Styela clava: one gene and its partner. The protein of the gene in region 1 binds, or shares a complex with, the protein of each later gene. Links are inferred from orthologs where the notes say so. Each region holds a gene or a part of one and is shown on either strand. Other genes may lie near its edges.

Evidence for each region.
Region 2: the proteins of mitotic spindle assembly checkpoint protein MAD1-like (region 1) and mitotic spindle assembly checkpoint protein MAD2A-like are in contact, whole or in part, in a crystal structure (PDB 1GO4), measured with the Homo sapiens proteins. The link is inferred for Styela clava from reciprocal best matches to the Homo sapiens genes MAD1L1 and MAD2L1. Residues at the interface, in NP_001013858.1 of Homo sapiens: Glu527, Arg528, Ala530, Leu531, Gln532, Gly533, Asp534, Tyr535, Gln537, Ser538, Arg539, Thr540, Lys541, Val542, Leu543, His544, Met545, Ser546, Leu547, Asn548, Pro549, Thr550, Ala553, Arg554, Leu557; in NP_002349.1 of Homo sapiens: Tyr38, Leu61, Tyr64, Asn67, Val68, Trp75, Gln82, Lys83, Ser89, Ile91, Glu92, Ser93, Gly94, Arg99, Gln101, Ser150, Phe151, Asp152, Leu153, Leu154, Ile155, Tyr156, Thr157, Asp158, Lys159, Asp160, Leu161, Val163, Lys166, Trp167.

What each region holds. Positions count from the first base shown.
Region 1 is NC_135263.1:4,101,767-4,110,288, reverse strand, and holds the start of mitotic spindle assembly checkpoint protein MAD1-like, read right to left. Parts: upstream 3,774-8,522; 5' UTR 3,768-3,773; coding exon 1,898-3,767; intron 1,610-1,897; coding exon 1,371-1,609; 3' UTR 1-1,370. Other genes in the region: alanyl-tRNA editing protein Aarsd1-like, read right to left, coding at 5,619-6,842. UniProt on the Homo sapiens protein: Component of the spindle-assembly checkpoint that prevents the onset of anaphase until all chromosomes are properly aligned at the metaphase plate.
Region 2 is NC_135260.1:18,873,156-18,882,032, reverse strand, and holds the start of mitotic spindle assembly checkpoint protein MAD2A-like, read left to right. Parts: upstream 1-5,456; 5' UTR 5,457-5,751; coding exon 5,752-5,827; intron 5,828-6,198; coding exon 6,199-6,348; intron 6,349-7,036; coding exon 7,037-7,175; intron 7,176-7,761; coding exon 7,762-7,856; intron 7,857-8,070; coding exon 8,071-8,246; 3' UTR 8,247-8,877. UniProt on the Homo sapiens protein: Component of the spindle-assembly checkpoint that prevents the onset of anaphase until all chromosomes are properly aligned at the metaphase plate.

The DNA of each region.
Region 1 (8,522 bases):
CTGACCTCCGACCTTTTTGTGAAAAATGGATGTCAAACAAAAGGCATTTGCAGTTATGTTATGGCCAAATATGAGCCTTGGCAGGCCTTTAGGTGATGTTTTCAAGACTACAAACTGAACCTACAAAAATCAGCAACTAATTTTTGGTAATGGTCATGGTCACAAAATTTTCAATGCATATACAAATCTTAGGCAATGAATTTTACAAAACTATTGCAAACAAAAATTTAAACTACTCTATTTCGTGCAACAATGAAGGGCGCTTCAGAAGTATGTGCACCGAAGATGGCGCACCCTAACCTGGTACACATACAATGTTCAGGTTGTGCGCCATCTCGGTGCACATAAAGAACCTGGGAATGCTGATGGTTTCAGAGGGGATAATAATGGACCTGGAATCAAAGTTTTTGCCAACCAGGAGCCAGATTAATTCATGGAATAGGCAAAAAATTTGGAGTCTGGTTAAATGCACATGCAAAATCTGCAGCAGATCCAATCTCGCTTTTGTGAGATATCGCGTGCATCTGACAGACAGACAAATACTTATCAACATACATACCGATTAAAATCGGTAAGTAATAAATAAAGAATATACCCTTCATGTTTAATTTGTTAACATTGAATTTTTTACGGCATTTTCATGTTCTAACAATTATTGGTGCAAGCATTTATTTCGCCTACTTTACATCTAGTTGTGTAAAGAGAAGAAAGCCAACACGCAGAGGGTATATTCACTTGGCTAACACAGACAGTCTCTAACCTCGTAATAGAACTAAAATTAAAAAAATCGGAATAAAATTATTGCCTACTGCAAACACAGACTACAGGAGTACCGCCACTCATGTGCAAGGTGATGCTATTTTCTAGACTGGACTGGAATGTTCCTGGTTTGACATTGCGCACACATTTATTGTATTCCAGATGAGTTGGTGGTCTTGGGTTTGAATCTGCAATACAACACTCCAAACACTGGCCAGGATTTCTCAAAATGGGCCCTTGAGTGGTTCTTTGAGGGCAACAAGCAAAGGCATTCACTTTAAGTTGGTACCATTCAAAATGACTACATTCATTTTAAGTAAAATGACTTCGATTGATGCATTTGTTCTTTGACTTTTGTTTGTTAGATTGAGTTTGTTGGAAACACATAAAAGCACAGCCAGATATTGTTATAGAAGAGCAGGGACCCAAGTTTTCAAGCTGCAGTGTTTAATAAGTTTAAGGTCACAGATCGTTAAAGTTTAAAAACCTCTGTGCTAGGCTTTCACGCACATGACAAATCTTGTCTAAAATGTTGTTGATAGAAGGTTCTTTCATAATATAAATTAAGCAGACTCATAAAATACCAAATACATTTTTCCGTAATATGATTATTAGACCATAGTCTGTTGGCTGAATAAGTCTGCAGTAATACTACTCAGAAACATAGGAATGCTATTCTGATGGTGTAAATGTAGCTTGATTAAATTGTCCAATGATGTTGAAAAGTTTGTTTCCAAGAGATGCATCACCCCCGAAGAATCAGACTTGAACAAGAGATGATCTTCTTCATTTTCTGCGTACATTGATACCAACTTGTACTGATTGTCAGCAGTAGAATCAATTCTGAAGCCTAAAAAAAGAATATTGCATAAGACATTCATTTTGAAATATGTGGGGACCGCTGAGCACTAATGTGTCGCAAGATTTATTGATTGTGTCGCAGAATATCAACGCATTCCATCAAAAATTACAGAGACTAAATTCGTCGATGCTTACGAATCGCAAAGCACCTTCAACTAGCGACACCAACATAGTAAGATAAAATGCTCCAAACACTCAGGCAGACCCTAACTAAAAGTCGGGTCTGTCTGCAGGACTCATTGCCTCACAGAAGATTAAAAGACAAGAATAAACTTACCAGTCAATGTATAGCAAGCTTGTCGAAATTCAAAAATTCTTTTACTAAAAACTTCTTTCAGTCTTTGATTCTTCAATTCAGAAGCCGCCAACTTTTCTTGAAAATCTTTTCCTTGCGTCACATCAATATTCGTCGTTGTTACGTCCTGATTCGACTCCAGTTTGTGAATCTTCTCTTCAAGTTTTAGACATTTTGCTCTCAATTTTGAAACTTCTAATGCACTCTGTTTATGTGCCATATCAGCTGGATTCATCTTAAGATGGAATACTTTCACTTTTGATGGATCATAATCCCCTCGCATTTTATTTTGTTCTGCCCATAATTCTAAATGTTCTTTTTCTTTTTGTAAACGAGAACGCTCTTTCTCTAAATCTTCGACTTTTTGACGCAAATTTTCCATTTCTTTTTCACCTGCTTTTGAACCACTGCCTTCTTCTAATTTCCGTTCTAATTGCTTTATATTGTTCTCCATTTCTTTTATCGTAACTTTTAAATGAGAAGCAAGTGTAGCGTTGTTCAGTGCTTCTTTTTCCACATCAACAAGTCGAGTGTGAACTTTTTGATTCGCAGTCTCAGCATTTTGTGCTCGTAAAATAAGTTGATCGGTGTGTGCGGTTGTTGATAACTCAGAATCATACGATTGTAAAATTGAACGTAAGCTGTTTCGCTCACCAGTGAGAAGCAACGCTCGTTTCTGAAGAAGTCTTATTTGTGTATCTTTTGTGCGATTCGCTTCATTTTTTTCCTCGATAGTTTTTTCTAGATTTGAAATATTGTTCTGCATTCCTTCACATTTTATTCGACATGTTAGCAATTCTGCATGTATTTGTCCTTTATCGCATGCTGCCACAGCTTCTTTTTGTTGCAATTTCTTCACCTCAGCAAGTAAATCCGTTACAGGTAAAATTTCTTTCTTTTTTGCTTCATTTAATTGTGCAATTAGATCTTTATTTTCGAGCTCAGTTAGAGCTGCTTTTTCGATGAGTTTTTCATTGTGAGATAGTTTTGTTTCAGCAGATAATAATTTTTCTTTCATGAGAAGTACATTTGTCTCGTTTTCTTTATAAATTTCATTCCTTCCTCTTAATTTAACGACTTCAATTTCAAGTATTCTTAAGCGTTCAAGATCGTCTTTCAATATTTTCGCCATTTGTTCCGCTTCACTGGATCGTGAGAGTCTCAACTCGAGATCCTGTATTTTCAGTTGATATTCTCGTAACTTCGGTTCATTGTTCCCAGATTCTTTTAAATCTTCAGTCAATTTTTGAACCCTGCTTGTTTTATGGTTCAACAGAGCAGCAGTTTCTTCTAATTTTTCTCGCAAAGCATTATTCTGCATGGATAAATGAGTGTTACGCTGTTTTAGCTCATCGTTAGAATTCCGTAAATGGTCAACGTTTAGTTGTAAATCTCGTTCCGAAGCTTCCTTATCTTTTTGCAATTCTAGAAGCATTTCTTCCAGACTTTCTTTATCTCTCATGCGCGAATTCCGTAATTCTTGAAACTTGTCTTGTGCGGTAATCGCTTGCATTGTAACTTGCTTGACTTTGAGTTGCAACCCATCGCATTTTTCTTTTAAAAGTCTGTTTTCAGAAATCAGCTTTTCATTGCGACTTTCGAGATCGAGTCGGGCAATTTTATGTGCTCGTTCATCCGAGACATGACGACTCTCCATTTCCGCAAATTTCGCTCGATTTAAAGCCTCAGAAGATGATGAAAATGATCGTTTTCCGTGTGAATGTGTCTCCCCCTCAGTAATCATATTAAAAGGAATTCCTCTACGTTGTTGATCTGCTGATCTTACGAACTGGTGGAAATCATCCATTATTCTGACAACTCTTGTATTGTCAGGAGTTATTGGTTCGTCCATTGCGCTCAAAATATTTTATTTTGTAATTTGGACAAAAAGATATTTCTGTAGAAATATGCACATGAAATACATTTAAATATAAGTCATGATGAATTTTGATTAAGATATTGTTTGAACTATAAGAATCAAATGAAATATAATTCAAGTACTATAAATAGGAAGATTAAAATTAAATGAATGCACCATATAAATTTTCCCAAAATATATTCCAACCACAAAGTTATATCTAATAACTCTCAAGTAGGTTGGTAGCAGTATTTTCAGTGTCTCGAAAATATCACCTCCAACGAGCACCGTAAAAGTGGGAAACGGTATTTTACAGACTCCTTTATTTATATCTAATAATTCAGTATTCTGTTTTAAGATCTTATCATAAATATTCTGCATGAATATGTCCGAAGGTAATACCACCTACCGGTATGTATGTATGTATGTTTATTCGTCTCGTAAAAGCAAAAACACAGGAGTTAGTAAATATCAACATTGAAGACGGGATGTATACACAAGACCATACTGGCCTAAAACACATGAACGCGCGGCATACACCCCTTATGATAAGCATAAAATGCAATAAATCGAATAAGTATAATATGGTCCTTCATACAGACAGTTGTGCGAGGAGGGTGGATTAGGCAACATGGGTAATGGTGGAGTATGCCCAACTGTTTGTACAAAGGAGTTGGTAGGACAAGACAACATCAATAAATTGAGACAATACAACATGAAATATAATACATAATATATATACATAAGAATAAAATTTGGACATGTAGCACCCTCGAGAAAAGATACCACATACTATAAATGGGAGAAATAGTCAAGTTTATAGGAGTATGTGCATATATGGTATGTATCACTCAAGGGTGAGTGTCTTAAGTAATAAATGGCTAATCTAACAAAAATGCGTTCCTTCCAGGCTTGGGGAAATGCAATGTAATAAGTTCTGTCAAGTTATTTGCTTTTTCAAAGTACTTTGTATTTTATAGTTCTGAATACCGCTAAAAAAGATCAGGATTCAAAAAAAGGATGATATGTTGAAATTAATGACTCAAAAACCTCAAACATGGCTTATAATTGTAAAGTGGTCTGGGGACTTTGCAGACGGAACGTTACAGAAAAGAACTCCTGAAAGTAAGATGAACCACCAAATATAACAAATCATAACTTTTTCTTCTAGTTTTCAATGCAAGAATGGCATATCCTCAGAAAAAATAACAGTGCATGATTACTAAGTGTGATTATTCAAATTCCAAACACAGAGTTTTTGAAATAGCAATACTGTTATTACAAATCTGTGTCCGAATAACAAAGATGAAAAATGGTTCATTGAGATGTACTACTTGGTGTCATATGGCTAATACATACATTATAACGAGGCTAGGAATTTTTATGTACCTTGTTTGGTGAGGGAGAAAGTAATATGAATGACTGGGTAAAATGCGGTAATCAACCCTTTCCATGTGTTTTTATTTATTATTAAATAATCGTATTTGCTACGCCGATTTTATGCATTTGTACCCCCACAACTAATCGATCGACTAACGAATAACTAATGATCCTCTGCTGCCCACTGACGGCTCGTTGGAAAGTTTATTTAAACTTAACGTCGCTTATGTTAATAATCTCGAAGAAGACTTCTTTTCAATAAACTAAAACCCAGTAAAAACTAGACCAACAGTTTGCGACTTAACTTAAAGTACCCGCCGCGATCTAGCGAGTTTTGTCGTTGGTACGTACGTTGGTTGGTAAGGATTAATCAAGTATGAAAATATTGTATTCCGTATGCGAGTTCTCCAAAACAAGCTTATAGAAGGACACTGTGTACAAAGCAGAGAATGAATAAAAAAAAAATTATTTTGACATGAATGTTCTAATCAATTCTTCAGCTTGCTTGCATCCTTTCATATTGAGCGCCTTTCCCTGTATTTTGCCAGCATTCATTGCACCTTTTCCTTGAATTGCATCGCTAATATTTTTGCCACACTCTTCTAAAAATTTATCTGGGCCTGAAAGTAAGAATAAGCCTTCCCCTTTCTCATCACCAACTGTGAGAAATAAGTAACATTCAATCCCTTTTAGTTCATTTGCAACGATGTTCATATATTCATTATTTCCTTCTTTGCGATGAAGACGCAAGTATCTGTTTTCTGATACAGATAACTTGAAAGATTTTGCTTCAAATGAAGCGACTTCTCGGAGAAGATTTTTGGCTTCTTTTTGAGTTTGTTTTAATTGCTTTACACTTCTTTCGACGGCCTCGACATGTTCAATCGGTCCACATTTTAATATTTTTGTTAAAGATTTTTCGTCTGCATATTTTTTAGCAACAAAATCGAGTACACGATTCCCGACGAGAAAATAAAGATTGCATTTACCTTTTTTGCCTTTCTCCACACTAAGGAGTTTTACACACTGCAAATCTGAGAGATTTTTCACATGAGTCCCGCAACACATATTGGCATCGACTCCATTTATATCGATAATTCTAACAGATCCGACATGATCTTCCGGGAGACCTCGAGCTCGAACATTTTCAAGCAAAGTCGATCCAACTTCTGTTACATGAACAGTAACTGGAGTAGAATCTCTGATTTTCTGATTGCACTCGTCTTCAACCTCTTGCATTTGAGCTATCGTTAAACTCAAAGTATCCAGTTCAATAAATGATACGTTCCTTCCTAAATCCCATGAAGTTGTTTGATGTCCAAATTTTTTATCAACGATCGCGGTAATCAAATGTTGACCAGTATGTTGCTGCATGTGATCGAATCTACGTTCCCAATCAACTTTTAATTTTACTTCCTGGCCTTCTTCAAGTTTAGACGGAACAAAATGAACAGCATCACCCCCTCTTCTCGTCACCCTAAGAACTGGAACTTCATCTATAGTTCCCCTATCATCAGGTTGGCCCCCTCCTTCAGGAAATAAAATAGTGTCGTCTAAAATGACTTCATAACCTTCAGTCATTTGTTCTTTTCCACCAGATATTGACACTTTGCATTTTGCAGGAGTGACTGTCTGAACAACAGCAGTGTGCAGCGTTGAGTAACTATCATTTTGGCACATGAACGGCATGATTAAAATAGTTTTAATAAATTACACAAAAATCGCCAAGCAAATGCTGTTAAGAGTACATTTTAAATTAAATATACAGAAATAAGTTACATGCAAAACCGCTCACAATCCAACCTGAAGTTTGATCACAGTGTGAACAAAATGATCAAGAGCCTCAATGACCTGCGGTGGTCTTGCATACTGCAGTAGGTACGTAGTAGCAGGGTTGTCCAAAACGAATCGAATATTCGAATGTATTCGAATATCAAAGTATTCGAATACCTTTTCGGCTGATTTTCGAATAATTCCGAATAGTAGCCACTCTTCGCCGTAAACGTGGTGTTTCGTTTTACGGGAATCTTCAAATGACTTTTTACGCTGTCTCACGTATTGTAATGACGATGAAATAGAATCGGCACTTTGATTGTTTATATTCTGTGCGACCGACCGACCGTACGTCGCATAGTGTTGCGACGGTATTTGCAAGTTTGCGTGGGTGGACATTGCCGACATTCGTCTACGAGGCTTTTAATTTACAAATTCATTTCCATTACGTCGAAAAATTGACGTCGAAATTATTTTATTTCTATGTGGCCTGCTTATTATTTGCATGAGTCTTCTCAAGCATGATTTGTGTAACCTTATATTCGGGTCTTAGGGTCTGCCAATCATGATATTTTATCGCAGGCCGGTTATCGTTACCTCAAAGAGAAACCTGGTCACCGAGATAAAGTGATTTGCGACCCTTTCGTTTTGCGGATTCAGCAAAACACGACAGGGACAGGAAAACACAGCTGTACAATAACCCGTGGACGTACAGTGTATTACTTATCACATTTCAAAATTATTTCAATGTTTGGGTTAATAGGTTGTCCAAAATGGTTACCGATTTACAACTTAAATTTACCGCTCAATTGTTAAAAATAGTTAATTCTGTGAGTATGATTCTACCAAACTAACATGATCTTGTCCTAAACATATAAAATTATTAGCGCATATCAGCATAACTGAACAACAGGGACACAATTTTTCTACCCGTCTTATTGGAGGCCTATATGGAAAAACCCCTTTTTGAGTGCTAAAAATAGACATCGTCCTATTTGCCATGTGGACTTATTAGCCGGGAAATACGGTATTCATAGCCGTCATTGTTACGATGTTCAATAAATTGTCACAAGTTGGAAAAACAAGTCGATTTATTAGAAAATAATTTCTGGCAAATAATTCTGATAACGATGGTTAAAAGTATCGATCCTTTACTAGGATGATTTTTTGTTGCGCAAAATAATGCAATCCATGACTGGTACCAGCTTTTAAAATGTCATGCCGTCTTAATTTAATTCTGTTCAACGTAACTCATGGTTGTATCGACAATCTGTGGACATAAAATGTGTGGTAAACTGACCGATTTTATTAAATATTGATTCCTATTTTTATATTGATAAAATAATGAAAGTATTGATACCAAATACCACGGGTATTTGTGGACATGAAATACGTGGTAAACTGTCCAATTATAATTAATTTCGGATTCGTATTTACAAAATAATAAAACTATTATAATTCTAAAATGCAACGGCGATCTGTGACCTTGAAATGTGTGGTAAACTGCCCGATTTGCCAACATTTGAGTTATGATAATAGAATTAAATTAACATGGTAAGGCATTTTAAATAGTGGTATCGGTCATGGATTCGAATA
Region 2 (8,877 bases), on another chromosome or scaffold:
CCGTCAACATTGAAAATTTCTTCATTATTTTACCATATCTCTTGCATCTGACATAATTAAATTCCACCGAAGCATTTTACTAATAAAACCCAATGACTGATTGTTCTAATCATATTACTTTCAATTTGACATCCACCCAAACCTGATGATACTCTTATTTGCAATTGTGTCATACTACTGATAAGTTCCACAACTCAATCATTTATAGTATTTCGCAACTTTTCATTATACACAATTTTGGTGCCCTATTTATTGTACAAATATTAGCAAAGAAAAGTTATTTTCCTGTTTTATGATGCTTATAAAGACCAAATTTCGAGAAAACATATAACCTAATTGGTAAGGATAGTAAACATATTCAGATTTTTCAGTTCATCGATTCTAACTGCTAGCCTATAGCGGCTCCTTCTAGAAATTACCGTTCAGATGATCGAAAATTTATTAAAAACGTGATATCTTGTATTCTTGAGGATATTTGCGACTGGAAATATTCATTGGGACAAACATCCATTTGTGAATATGTCCGAGTGTACGTGCTTGCAAATGTTCGGAGCCAGTGTCACTGCCTAAATTTTAGTTAAGTCTTTTTCAAAAGCTTCTAAATATATTTTATCAATCATAATTAAACAGGATGGTACCATACAGAGGGTTTGATTGATCAAATCAATACCTCGTCTTACCAACCTGGTTGAATAGTCTTGGCCGTTCCGGTGATTAGAGTGGCCGCGTTTGTCCGGGAAAATCAAAACAGTCTCACTGAACAATCAACAATTCGGTCGTCGGGTTCCAAGCTGTTTCTAAGGTAAGTTAGCATTCGCGTTACATACCGTACCGTACCAGCATACAGACATAGTCTACAACAGGGGTGTCTGTGATAGAATACCGGTACTGTGATAGAATTAATGCTAATATTGAACACTGTAGACAATCCGTATATAATTTCATTGAATATAACATAGGGCAACAACTGAGTGTTATTTTTAAAATACCTGTAAATAATAGTGTATCACATACCTTTTTCCCCAATAGATATTATGGAGCCATTATTACTTTCCTTCGGCAATATAACATTGCTGGAACTGATTTAGAACAAGGGAAACATCGAATAATTTATAATAAAATAGTTGATAATTTGAAGAGGGGTGACAGAATAGTGTTTCTTAGAGATGGTAGTTTGGAAGGAGCTTGTTCAAACATACATTGTAAAATATTGGCTAATAATATGAAAACTTTCAATTATAAACTTATGTGGGACATTCTTTCACTAAAAGTTAAACCAAGGATTAGACATATTACTGGAAATGATTTATGTGTACTTTGTTTTAAAGAACCAGAATTTATATCTCATTTATTTTGGAACTGTGCATTTACACAAAATGTATATGATTATGTTTTTTCTGTTGTATTAAAAATAAACAATTGCGAGTTAAAAAATATTTATAAAACATGTATTTTACTAGAACTAAATAATCAGTGTTTTTCACATTTATCATTAGTCGAACGTAATGCAGTCATACTTCTTCTGTGTACTGCAAGATATAAAATATGGTTAGAACGTAATGCAGTTATTTTTGAAAATGTTAATCCAAGTGTAAATAGTGTCGTAACAAGAATTAGAAAATCCCTTTTAGCAAGGAGAAATATAGAACAACTTAGACATAATCCTAGTTTTATAAAAGAACTAGACATAATTTGTAAGAATCTATGACTAATTGTATAAATTTTTATTTTTCTGCTATAAATTAAAAACATATAAATTAATGTATATTTACTGATAAACATGGGAAACTTTATCTGGAATCAACAATGGAATAATATGAATTGCTGGATAATACTGAATGTTTACGAATATATTTGTTTATTATATGTAACTATGTTCTATGATTATTATTTTTTCATCATTTATTTATTTTTACAAAACTGTTATGAATCCACAACGTGGACCTTTAAAAAAAACAAAACAACAACAACAGGGGTGTCAAATTCGTGTGTATTCGAGGGCCGCATTGTATATTGGGAATTGTGCCAAGGGCCGAAAACAGTTTTTGATAATGTACGGTATACTTTGGGCATTTCTATTTTATGATACATCAATCAATCATACATATTGTGTTGTAATTAAACAGCCAAATAAAATTTTGCTATTTTCTTAAATTTCAAATGGCATTTTCATAATAATTTCTTTCCTTTGCACTATTATTGCAATTTACTTTATTTATTACAAAAAATTATAAATTTTTACATACAACTGTACAACTATCCAAAACATGCATACACAAAAATGACTTGATCTTAATACAGGGTGTTCTCGGGTTATGACGGTCGCGACTTACGATGTTTCGAGGTTACAAACGCGCACTCCATAACGCTGTTTCGAGGTTACGAACGCACTTTACGAACATATACAGATATAAAAGATAATACTGTACTGTAATATCTAAGCCTATAAACTGGATCATTGTGATCAGGAAAATCAGTGCTCTGGGCTCATTGGTTTTCGTTATTTACATCGTACACGACGTGACCAATTGCGAACTATTACGAATATGAACGAATAATCACTAAGCTTCAGTCACATGGTACAGTACTGTACACAGTTCCAGTGATACTGTACGTCATTTTGGTTGTTTAAGTCGTTTTTTTCGTAACTTGTTTGATCGTTTTTTTTTTTACTTTTGCCCTTTGTTATGGACTCAAAGCAAAAAAAAGATGTTAAGATACTGCACTGTTGCACACTTGCAATTCATGCACTGTACCACTGTACAGTATAAGGTTCAGACTTACACTGAAATTTGGGTTACACCGAGTCTCAGAAACAGAACTGCGTCGTAAGTCGAGGACTCCCTGTATATAAACCTAAAATCTACAAAAATACAGAATAAACTTAAACAGCTTACTAATATCAGGCTGAAATGATTTTACAGTAGGCTACCAATTCTTAGTAACGAGGTCACATGACCATCGGTTAATTTGCATCGTTGAGAATGTTTGATTAAATTCAGAAATTACTCCCTTATTTGTAACTTAGCATCACAAGCTTATATAAAGACCGCAAGTTGTGCAGTGCCTGATATATCACACAATTCATCGAATGATAAGAAAAAATATTCAAAGTTAGCAGACGCAAATTTTATTTGTTCTTTTAAATTTGCGGACATCTTATCAATTCTAGTAGCAACTGTATTTCTTGTCAACGATAAATTTTTGAGAAGTTCCAACTGTTTTTACAAGACAGGTTTGCTGCTGATTTAGCTGTGCTTTCAACTGCAACAGTTTCATGTTTCGAAGTTGATATTCAAATTTGTCATATTGACTGCTGGGCTTACTTTGATAATGTCTACTTATATTGTATTTATTCAATGTACTGATAGAAAAGTGACAAATTAAACAGTTGGATTTCGAATTTTGAAAATATTGCAACCCCCCCTTTTTTTAGATAAATGCCACCTTCTTCATGTACTTTGCATTTCTTCTTAATCACTGAACTGTTTTTTTTCAAGTATTCTCTTGCTAGCTTGAGGTGTATCCATAATCAGGTCAAAACGAAACAAAAAAATTTGTAATTTTTCAAAACTACTTTCTGTAATTTGTCGTGTTCTGCGTGGATAATCAATTTCAATTGGGAAGTTTTAAAAAATGTATTACATTTAGATTAAAAACCTTACAAAATATATCAATAATTGTTAAGCGTTCGAGGGCCGCGAGTTCGGCACCCCTGGTCTACACTCTACCTGTCTACAGAGTCACCGCAAAAATGTGTTTCAAATGAACTCGGTTCTGATTTTGGGTCTGGTATAGTTTAGTACCACATGCACTTCTAGTTGGCCTGGCTCAACAATTATTGCATATGTCAATCCTAACCCCCACCTAACTACGTCACCGAAAAATTACGTCATTTCGACGTCGCCCACCAAAGTATGCAGATGGTCGTCCAAAACGCGCAGACGATCACCGAAATCGAGCAAGCTATTTCTCTCGTTTTCTCGCCACAACGATCCCGATAGGAGGAGGTTATAGACGGCGCATATGCCATTTCGGGCAATCTTAATTATACTTTAAAAAGTCCTATGACGTGATGGTGATGTCGTAGTGACGTAATTTTTTGATGGCATAGTCAGGTGGGGGTTAGGAATAACATATGCAAAATTCGTTATGCTACGCCCACTGGAAGTACTTGTGGTACTAAACTATACTAGACCCCTGATTTTTTGGACCACCCTATATTTATGCCAGGGTTCAAAGTCGATGGGTCGGCAGATGCAGAGTTTGAACGGTTCTATCCACTGATCCAAGGTTTGAAGTAAGGGGTTATCCCATTATCCTCGCTTCAAACATTAAAAGAGATAGTGCAGATGTTTGCTGAGAAGAAATAATAAATTATTTCAACCAAATTTAAAAATAGCGGCGTGTTTACCCCCAACCAACTTATTCCAGTATTCAATTACAGCCAAACAAATCCTCGTGATGATCGTGGCAGGAAACAAGCTACCGGTAACAGAGTGGAGATGATTTGCGAAAGTTCAATATCAATTATGTTTTGCGGACCCGCTGCTGGAAGCCTCTTGCCTTTTGTGGTACTGGTCTTTGGAAATAAACGCCTATGGATCCTGGACCACCGACTGACCGATGGCCCTGCTGGGGACAGTATATGATGCAACACCAAGTGGATAGTTTGATACCAGTACATTCATCTGCTGGTTTGAAGAAGTTATCGAACCAGTCTGTGTTAAACTTGGTGTCGAAAAAATGCTCGTAGGGGACAATTTATTTTCCCACTAAACCACGGAATGAAGGTCGTGAGTTGGGTCTCGTGTAGTTTCGACTTCAAGTACTTCTTGTGGGGGTAGCATAACGATATTTGCACATCAATCCTATTCCTAACCCCACCTAACTAGGCCATCCAAAAATTGCGTCGCAATCACGTCATGGAGCTTGCCAAAATATACCTACGATCACCTGAAATAGCATCTGCGTTGACGATAATAAACTCACTAACGGCAGGGATCTCTCTCATATTGGGATCATTGCGATGAGAAAACGAAAGAAATAGCTTGTTCAATTTCGGGTGATTGCCTGCGCGTCTTGGATGACAGTTCGTATAGTTTGAAGGGCCTCATCACGTCGTGGTGACGTAATTTTTGGATGACTCAGTCATGTGGGGGTTAGTATGCTATGCCAACCAGAAGTACCTGAGGTACGAAACTACACTAGACCCCATTGACTTAGCAGACCAACATAATGTGTATTTCGCATGCCTGCCAGAAGTCATTGGACAGCAATCATATATACTCCAGCCTCTCGACTGCTCATTTTTTCCCTTCTAAAAGCAAAATAGAGAAAAATACTAGCCTAATGGATGTCATAAACACGAATTTGTGGTTGTCCGGAGAAACATTTCCCACTTTCACTGCACCAGCGTTTTTTTAAATCCTTGTTAACAGCTGCACAAAATCTTGAATCGGGATGTCAAGTTTGTGAGATTCACCCATCTAACCCCTCTGCTGTGTTGCGTAAGCCATGAACAACTGACCAGCGATTACGATATGTCTTACTCCTCTTGCACAGGGGTGCATGGTAAGCATACCATGCCATATATGTAACGTAATATCGCTAAGTTAACGATTAGCACAGTAGCATGATGCTCCACATCCAGGCATCGCCGTCTGTGTCCTTTCCGAAGTGGTTTTTAATATGTTTCTGTTTCCAGTTATTGGTCTATATATGTGTAGAATCTGATACTTTGAATTAAACATGCCTCCAACTCAACAGGCTTCACTGAATAAAATAACGCTAAAAGGATCAGCAGCAATTGTTTCCGAATTTTTCTGTGAGTTTTTCATGCTAATTGATTCATGCTGTTATTACTATATCCTAGCGACCTAGATAAATGGTTAGACACAGCATTTTCAGTTTATGATATGCTAGACTTGACTTTCAGGCTCGAGGTCAGCACCATGCTGTAGTGCATGAAGCACAGTACAAGCTTGTATTTGATTGGATTTTATAGAATGTACAGTAGTCTTTTTTTTTTCAGTACATGGTGCCATGATGTTTACAGATTTACAATAGCAGATTAAAAGCGATCAAGCTTGGTTTTTGATATAGCCTATTGGTTATTATCATGGTACCCCTTCGAATAATGATTTGGCTCTCTGAATTTTCTACCGTATTGCATGCTCTATTTTGATTATAATTCAGACTATGGAATCAACAGCATTTTATATCAACGTGGAATATATCCAGCGGAAATGTTTACCAGAGAGAAAAAATATGGACTGACCATACTTGTTTGCACAGATGACAAGATTAAAGAATATTTGGAGGAAAATGTTTGTCCACAATTAACCGGTGATCTCCAAATTCAATTTTGAAATCAACTTCTGATTCATTTTTCATGTTCGCTAACTATTATAATCAGTTTTGTGATCTAATAAGGAAATTTTTATTACTTACATCATCTGATATCTTTAGACTTTAATAGAAGACAATAATTGGCTAGTCACGTTTGATAGTCGTGTCTTATGGAAATTAACCTTCCTTTTAGTGCCATACTTTTGCAACATAAATAATAGCATTTCAAATCCTAGGTGAGAAAATTGGAATCTGAGAATTGTGATAGTATTTATTTTGTTACCATTGTCATGTAAATTTCTTCAATTGTTGTCCAATTTCATCTCAATGATCTTTCAAAATATTATGCTAGGTAGCCTATATGTAACAAATTTCTTGTTTCCTGTTCTCAAAAGTTGTTTCATTGTTACTCAAAGCCAAGCTATGCTCGATATATGCCTGGGGCCATAGCCCATAAGTGACAATATACTCTGGTATTTAATTTTGTTCTTTAACAAAATCTCTTTGAAATGTAGTTTGAATTACCTTATGAAACTTTTCGTGTTATAGTTATTTGAGAATCCTAAAATTACTGAGATGATCTGATGGAAATCTGGGAAAAAGAATGCTATTCTGGCGAACCCCATGTCATATATTGCTTGGGATTTGACATATGATAACTTATATGATAATATTTTATGCACAGAATGGTTAGAACAAGGTGTTGTCAACAGGCTTGTTGTCGTTATAAAAGATGTTGACACAAAGGAACCACTTGAAAGATGGCAGTTTGAAATAGATTGTGACAAGACAGTAACTTCTAAAGATGGAGAAAAGAATCACAAGTAGGTCATATATTGATTTTATTTATACTTATGGCCCTATTGCTTCAAAAAGATGTAGACCCCATTTCAATGCTTCAAGCCCTTTCATCTTTCAAGACTCTGACTTTCAACCATTTTTATTCCAAATCAGATAAAAAAATCATGGAAACATTCAAATCATCCAACAGACATTTTTGTGTACATTCCATAGAGATGAAATATCATAAAATGAATGCATTTTCAATGTCCCGCTCCCAACAACATTGTTTCAGAGTCGTTACAAGCATTTTCAATGTCCCGCTCCCAACAACATTGTTTCAGAGTCGTTACAAAATTTTACAAATGTAGGATTTGCCATTTTAAATTCTGTTCATCAATTAGATGTGTTTGCAGGATAATATTCATATGCCGGTGAGCCAGTGTTTAAAATACAGTGATTCAGTATGTTTTCACTTTTGTTGAAATTCAGTGAACTCATAGTAGTTGGAAAATTCAAGCATTTAAAAATGTTATTTTGAGATTTATATCAAAACAGCAGTATTATATAGTCATAGATACCATCAGGTTTCAATTTTCAAATATCAATTTATTCATTGCATTGATTTAGAACCAAGGAAATTGCAGAGATTCATAAAGAAATATGTGCTGTAATCAGACAAATAACAGCTACGGTTACATTCTTGCCTCTCTTGGAAACTGTCTGTAAGTTTGGTTTGATTATCTCTTCAATATTCACATCAACATAATTGGGCTCAACATACTAACCTTGGAAACCAGTGGTTCCCACATTTTTGATACATCCTTCCTTTGCCTCTTTTTAAATTCTTCATTAGTCACTGGCTAGTGATAGACGCATTACCAGTAATAATACTACATGCAATTGCTAGATAAAATCTTAAATTGCAATACAAAACAGGTTCTTTCGATGTTCTGTTTTACACAAGTCATGATGCTGAAAATATATCACCAAAGTTGGAGGAAAGCAGTGCTTTCTTGATCACCGACTCTCAAGAAGTGAAACTGAGATCATTCAACACTACAGTTCATAAAGTTGAGGGGGCTGTGTCATACAAGTTTAATACCATCCGATGAAAATGCTAACACCAATTTTTTAAAAAACAGTGAAGAAACTATTGCTGCGCTCAACCTCCTACTGAAATTATGGAACAATTTTGTCCATTTCCCATTTGGTGTGACCAGTTGCGCGGCCAGGGGGTTCCGACAGGGGTACAGATTAAGAACGCTTTCATGGACATCGTAAATCGCAAAATTTATTGTACCTACGCTACCGCACACATTATAATTGAATGAATAGCCATGCCGTTGTCACGTAAATCGAAACAGTCAATAGTGCGCTCGATGTACCAATATTATCAATTCCACTACCGACGGTCCCCTACACGGTTTTTTTCTGAAATATGATAATATACAAGATAATTATTGTAATGTATATTCATTATTCAATCAATATTGTGCTAAATTAACTTTACTCCGTGGAATTTTATCGGTGATACAGGGATTGATCAAATTTGCAAAAATACGAAGCAGAACAAGATATAATCGGGCAATGTACCCCACATTTTTATCCGGGGATAGCCGTGGTATATTTATGGTAGTAATGTATTATATTTTTCGACGCGACCGCAGTTTGAATTAACGCAATTAAATTAATACAGCTAGACATTTTGAATTTGCCCGTATCGGGCATGTATTGGTCAACACG